Ovis aries: one gene and its partner. The protein of the gene in region 2 purifies or fractionates together with the protein of the main gene of each other region. This does not show direct contact. Links are inferred from orthologs where the notes say so. Each region holds a gene or a part of one and is shown on either strand. Other genes may lie near its edges.

Region 1 (3,652 bases), on a different chromosome or scaffold from region 2:
TAGCCTGCTGCTGCTGCTGAGTCGCTTCAGTCATGTCTGACTCTGTGCGACCCCACAGATGGCAGCCCACCAGGCTGCCCCGTCCCTGGGATTCTCCAGGCAAGAACACTGGAGTGGGTTGCCATTTCCTTCTCCAATGCATGAAAGGGAAAGTGAAGTCTCTCAGTCATGTCCGACCCTCAGCGACCGCATGGACTGCAGCCTTCCAGTCTCCTCCGTCCATGGGATTTTCCAGACAAGAGCACTGCAGTGGGGTGCCATTGCCTTCTCCCTATTGTAGCCTAGGAAGTGCATAATGTGATGGCAATCTCTAATAAAACAATGCACCTACCTTAATTTAAAAATGTTTTATTGCTAAAAATGCTCACTATCATCTGACAACACAGAACTGACAAAAACCTTTAACGTATAAAAGCAGAGTAGCTGAGAAATATAATAAAATGAGGTGTGCCTACACAGGTAATATTTAAATGTCACACAGTCTCTAGAAGGTAAGTATGAACAAACTGTCTTCTGAAAACAGAAGTTTTATCAACTTTTCATCTATCAGATCTCACTTTTTTTTGACCATACAATTCACACTTCTTTGCATCTGAGTTGTGACAAGACGTAGCAAGAGCCCCAGCGCCCATCAGAACCCTCGGATCCGCCCTCTGTAACAAGCCCTGCGCTGGCCACACCGGCTGCCCCCATCCCTCTGCTGGGCTGGCTTCCTCTCTGCTAAGGGAGCCTCTGAGCCCTTCTGCTCCACCCCCTGCTCCCCCTCCCCCCAGCATGTTCTCAAGGGCATTTTCCTGGGACTAGACTTGGCACCAACCAAAGAGACATATTCTAAACAAAACAAACAAACAAAAACCTTAAACCTAGTTCAGCCACACCTCAAGGCACTGCAATTGTGTAATTAAGAGAAAGAGACATCAGTGGCAGACTACACCACTCAGGTAAGACAAACAGCGTGTGTGACATGAGGTTTTTATTCCTTGAAAACACACAGGAAGCACTGCTAGGTAAGAAGAGGGAGAAGGGGAACGCGGAGATAAAATGTGACAACGTGCATGAAATGAGTTTCAAAGTGAATCGTAACGGTTACCATCCATAAAACCTGTGAAAAAGACCAGAGAGGCTCTGCAGTGTTCAAGAGACAGTTAAGAGGAAACCTGCCCTGCTTTTCTTTTAGGGGCCGGGGAGGAGAAGCAGGAGAGGGCCTGACCGGAGCATCTCTGCGGAGTGATGAAGACGGTCTAGGCTCAGTGGGACAGATGCCTAGCTATGTTCATGCACTGCAAAGTCCCTGAGCAGTGTGTCACTTTAAGTGGGCTCATTCTGGGACTTTCCTGGTGGTCCAGTGGTTAGGACTCTGTACTTCCACTGCAGAAGGCACAGATTCAATTCCTGGGTGGGGAACTAAGAGATCTTACAAGATCCACATGCTGTGAAGCAAAACAAACAAACAAACAAACAAAAAACAGACAGGTAAGAATTTATTTTAAAAAATAAAAGGGTGAATTTTATGGAAAAATGTATGTCAATCAAGCTGTTATTTTTAAAAATTCTTAAAAATAAAAATAAAAGAGTGGAATAGTGCCTGGCACACAGTAAGTGCTCCTCCTGTAAACAGGAGCTTAACCTTCTAAACCAATAGCTTCACTTGAAGAGTGGTGTCCCTACTTGGCACTGAAAGGCCAAACATAAGACTGCACGTCTCTGCGTTGGAAAAGACCTTGATTCTGGGCAAGACTGAAGGCAAAGGGAGAAGGGGGTGGCAGAGGATGAAGTGGCTAGATGTCATCGCCGACTCAACGGACATGAATCTGAGCACACTCCGGGAGGTGGTGAAGGACAGGGCACCCTGGCCTGCTGCAGTCCACGGGGTTGCGAAGAGTCGGCCACGACTGAGCAACTGGACAGCAAGCTCAACTGACAGACTGTACTCCTGGTTTACACCAGAAAGCAGACGCACAGCTGCGCGTGCCCATACGTGTGAGCGTGGGTGTAAGGAAGAGGCCTGGGGAGCACAGGGCGTGCACACGCACAGCTGGGGGCTCACCGGAGCGCTGGCCGGCCTGTCGGCCTCCTCCCCCTCCTCTTCGTCTGAGTCGCTGGCTGCATCCTGGCCGCTGGCGCGGGTGGGCGAGACGGGCAGCTGGGACAGGAGGGCCTGGAGGACTCGCAGGTGCGCCAGCAGCCCATCCTCGGAGAGCGCGCCTTGGTGAGACAGCCACACCGTTAGTTAGGAGGGGTGAGAAACTGGCAGATGCGGGGGACCGCTTCTCCTGAACTCCGAGAGGCATTTCTGACCAGGACACACATCACATCTCTAATATTTCGCGTGCAGATGTGGGCACTCAAGTATTTTAGCATAAGATACCCAAATGCTATGCCAGGCAGCCCAGCAGCTTAGCACAGATGGGGGAGAGCAGCCCCGCACTCAGAGATCGGCCCATCCAACCCTAAGACTCGTTTTAACCTGTGTGGCCCTGTTAAATCAGACTTTTCATCCTGCCCGGACACTATGCCCGGGGACACTGGCCAGGCCACGGCCTTAAGCAAACCTGCTCTTCCGAGGAGCTCCTCCCCCAGAGGCCGTGCTGACAAGGGGACACCCGGCCATGCACCCCGCCCCGCCCTGCTCCCATCTACGCATGCTGCCTCTACGTGAGCTCAGCGGGACACCCTATGTTTCATACCCAAATAATTGTCACCAACGGTTAAGACGAAGTAGAAGAGCCAGGGCGCGCCCCCACTGGTGGCGGGGCGCCTGCCCTCCAGGGACAGCAGTGCGGTCAGGAAGGGCTCGTAGGGGAAGACGGCCCGTGGGTCCGCCAGGGCAGGGATGACGAAGTGGAAGACCTGCTCCGTGAAGGGGGCCGTCAGGACCTCCTTCGTGAAGGCTGTAAAAACCTGTTGCCTAATGAAGAAAAATGGAAGCTCGTAATAAAATCAAAATACGCTGTCCACAAAATCATTGATAAAATCACTGCACACAAAATAACCTTTTCGTCAGTCAAGTTTTTCAGATTAACTAGAGCACCCTAAACTTAATGCTCTATTATTCCTATTAAAAAAAAAAAAAACAAGACTTTGCTATATTTTTCTATCTTCTGATAGCTACTAGAAAGCAAGAAAATAACCAGGTCACCAGAATTATAAATTTATGTTGGGTGCAGGCCAGATAGAAAAAGTATATTTTTCTTTAAACTGAGTCACACTAATAAAGCAAAACTGACTTTCAAGTCCATATTTCAGACAGCACCCTGTGTCAAAGTTAGTTAGATACAGATCTTGCGGAATTACAAAATCAATAAACTGATTTCATTCTCACCTTGCACCTTCTGGACAGGAGTTGTACGTAAAGTGCAATGGTTTTAAAACATTCTCTAGCAAAATTTTTGCTATAGGAACTCGAGATAAATCAGAATATTCAATACTTGATGGAAGCTTGCTGTTAATTAACAAATAGAGAGATCTATAATACCCTGAAAGAAAAAAAAAATTTATAAGTTGTATCAATTTGTATTAAAATATCAATACCCCTATCTTTTTTTTTTTTTTACAACAAGGGGAAAACAAACTTGGCAATTTTTAACTGCTCTTTATAAATCTCCATAAGTCCAAATTCAAGTTAGTTTTTCCTTCAAGTTTTTATCAAGTA
Region 2 (3,652 bases):
AAAAGGGAAAGGCTACCCACTCCAGTATTCTGGCCTGGAGAATTCCATGAACCGTATAGTCCCATGGGCTTGCAGAGAGTCAGACACAACTGAGTGACTTTCACTTCACTTTACTTCTGTTGTAATATATACACATACGTACAAATACATTGCATGTACTGGGTTGAAATGTAAAATCTATTCTTTATATGGATTTTTGTCAAAAAAGTAGAAAAACACGTTATGAGTTGAACCATGTCCGCCCTAAAAGGATATATTGAAATCATAACCTTGGTTATAGCTTAGAATTATGCTGCCACAAGCCAAAGAATACCTGGGGACCAAGAGAAGCTGGAAAAGGAAAAGAAGGACGCTCCCCTGCTAGAGGCTGCACAAGGAGTAAGGCCCTCCCAATACCTTGATTTTGGACTTCGAGCTTCAGATTGTAAAAGAACAGAAATCTGTGAATAAAACATTATCGTGACCACGTATACTTGTGTGTGTGTGCGCATGTGATCAGTCTTTCAATCACATCTGACTTTTTGCAACCCTATGGACTGTACCCTGCCAGGCTCTTCTGACCATGAGATTTCCCAGGCAAGAATACTGGAGTGGTTTGCCATTTCCTATTCCAGGGGATCTTCCCGAACCAGGAATCGAATCCAGGTCTTCTATGTCTCCTACATTGGCAGGCGGATTCTTTACCACTGAGCCACCTACACTTTAGCGTACAATAAACATTTTTAGGAGATTCTCAAAAGTATCACTTTTCTTACATCCTCATATGAAGTGGTCTCCCCTTGCTCTTCTCCTTTATATCATCCTGTTCACTGTCTTCACAGCACTAATTATAATGTATTGTGTTGTGTTTATTTGTTGACTTTCTGTTTCCTCTGCCAGAAAATAAATTCCACGAGGATAGGTCTTATTTCTTACTATACCCCCAGAGCCTGACATCTATCTAACTGGTTTCCAATAAATACTTATTTAATGAAAAACAGGAAACTTCACGTTACGTGTTATGAAGTGTTAAATGCTGCTGTTGTTCACATCTCCTTGTTCCTCCTTCCCTTTCAAGAAAAAGTCCTCTGAGTAATGGAGAGATTTCAAATGTACAAGACCATTTTACACGGTCTACAACCGGGGCTGGCTAACTACAGGCCATGAGTCAAATCTCGCTGGATGCCGATTTTACTAAGACACAGCTTCACGCATTCCTTTGTGTATTTACTGTCTGTGGCTACTTTTACTCTGTAACCGCAGAGTTGAGTAGTTGCAACAGACTGGATGGCTGGGATGGCCTGTACAGCCTAAAATATTTACTGTTTGATCTATGAAATAGGCCACTCTGCTTTTAACTGTTTATATAATGCCTGATATCTAACTGCACATATTCTAAAGGTTATAAGAAATAAACGCTGAAAATAAGTTTTTACCTTATTGTAATTTTTTGCTAATTCCAACATCTCTTTTACCACTGATTCATTATGTTTACAGTGTTCACTGTAGTCCTGAAGTGTCAAACCTTCCATCCAACTCTTCTTATGCAAATTTAATAACATCTAAAAAACACAAAGAAAAATTAATTATGCTTCTATACTGAAGAAATTTCCTTTATGTCTTGAAAAACAACTTCACAAACAACTTTTGGAATTAATGAATTTAAATTTAATTTTATTAATTTAAATAAACCCTAAAGAGTATCCTCCTAAATCTATATTAACAAAACTCTAAGGAATACTCCAACCCCATGGCCTTTGCAGTCCCTCTGCCTCAAAGGCTGTTTTCTTTATCTTTCTATAGCTTACTTTTCTCACTTCCTTAGAGATAGATGCCACTTCTCACCACCTTATAAAAAAGCCACTCCACACTATCCTAAACATCTTTCTTTCCTTAACCTGTTTATTATTTTTATAACACTATAAACAGCTGAAACTTGTGTTTTCTTGTTTAGTGCATTTCTTTCTCACTAAAGAGAAATCAACAGGGCAAGGACTTTAATTCAAGATCACCAAGATCTAGATTCTAGAATCTAGATCATACTCTAATCATAGAATATAATCAATAAGTATATACTGAATGAATGAAACTACTATGTTATGCACAGGATTTCTAACAGTTCATATAGCCCAGCTTTCAAATACCAAGATAAGGAGGTAAATGCTCCTATTTACTGAATGACTTTGTGTCAGTCTTTCTGAGCCTTTGTTTACAGTATCTATGAATTGAAGGCTTATAGATAATCTCCAAGTTTCCTTCAAATTTTAATATTCTGTCTATAACTTCTTAAATTTAAATTTTATATCAAAATGAAAAGTCATAAAACTGGGAAGAAAATCAGATTCATCCAGTTTGCAATCACATCAGCAAACTAGGATCAGATCCTATTAATGATCACGGAACTAAACACCTTAGCTCATTATTTCTTAAATTGGACTCGTAGTTCTGAGGACATATTCTTGGAAATTCATCAGTTTTCAAGTTCAAATTCCTAAGACAGTTTTTCTTAAAAGTCCTATTCTATAAATAATGTCCTTCAGTTGAGGACTACCAGTGAAGAAGAAGAGTTTTCTAAATGATAAAATTACACAAGATCAAAAAAATGGTGGCTACAGAATGATTGATGTTTTCTTGCTATGAAAACCAGTATACTTTATTTAACTTTTTATTTTATATTGGGGTGTACCGATTAGATTCAGGGGAACAGCAAATGGACTCAGCCATACGTATACATATAACCATTCTCCCCCAACGTCCCCTCCCATCCAGGCTGTCATATACCATTAAACAGAGTTCCCTGTGCAATACAGTAGGTCCTAGAAGCAGTATACTTTAAGTGAGATCCACAAGGCATGAGGCTCTAAAGACATAGTCAGAAGTGAGTTTAGTTTAAAAGAACTGTTTGCAGCTAAAATCAGTACAAAGTTTTCCTTATGCTGAAGAATAAGCTACAAGTCAAAATCATCTATGAGAACTTTCAAGACACAAAAGCTCCAAATTCCCTGATTGCTCCCCTAGGGCTCATGGAGGCAAGAGTAGTTTGAAAACACCTGGAAAACTCCTGAACATGTAGCCCAATTTCTTTGCTTCCCATCTACACCATGGATAATGTTTTAGAAAATACATCTTCAGGAAATTTTGGTGCAGCTGCAACTACCAATGTTATAAGAAAGTGAAAGTGTTATTCGCTCAGTTGTGTCCAGCTCTTTGTGACCCCCATGGACTGTAGCCCACCAGGTTCCTCTGTCCATGGAATTCTCCAAGCAAGAATACTAGAGTGAGTTGCCATTTCCTTCTCCAGAGGATCTTCCCAACCCAGGGAATGCTATAAAGCTATAAATGCTATATAGCTATATATACCAATGTTATAAAGCTACCTATGATTGTTGAGAACAGGCTTTTTGTACACATCAAAAGCAAACCAAAAAATTTCCCAATGAGCAGAATATCCCACCCTGCCTGGACAAGGATTGCACTGGGCCCCTCAGGTAAGACTTGGAGTTAAGTATACAGGTTGGTGGGACAAGAATAAAGGCAGGGGCTTTTGACATTAAGAAAGCACATGAACTGAGCTATGCTAGGAATATAAATATACTATTAATTAATTATTTATATGTGTGCTTTTTTTATATCAAGGATGGTAGCTAAGGTATCAAGAATGGATACTATAAAA

What was found.
Region 1: the proteins of PSMD14 (region 2) and UBE3C purify together in Homo sapiens (affinity purification with mass spectrometry; 4 studies listed by BioGRID, with this or other methods). This does not show direct contact. The link is inferred for Ovis aries from reciprocal best matches to the Homo sapiens genes PSMD14 and UBE3C.

The regions. Positions count from the first base shown.
Region 1 is NC_056057.1:120,081,449-120,085,100, reverse strand, and holds part of UBE3C (ubiquitin-protein ligase E3C), read right to left. Parts: intron 3,477-3,652; coding exon 3,323-3,476; intron 2,909-3,322; coding exon 2,688-2,908; intron 2,206-2,687; coding exon 2,048-2,205; intron 1-2,047. UniProt on the Homo sapiens protein: E3 ubiquitin-protein ligase that specifically catalyzes 'Lys-29'- and 'Lys-48'-linked polyubiquitin chains.
Region 2 is NC_056055.1:148,389,517-148,393,168, forward strand, and holds part of PSMD14 (26S proteasome non-ATPase regulatory subunit 14), read right to left. Parts: intron 1,542-3,652; coding exon 1,416-1,541; intron 1-1,415.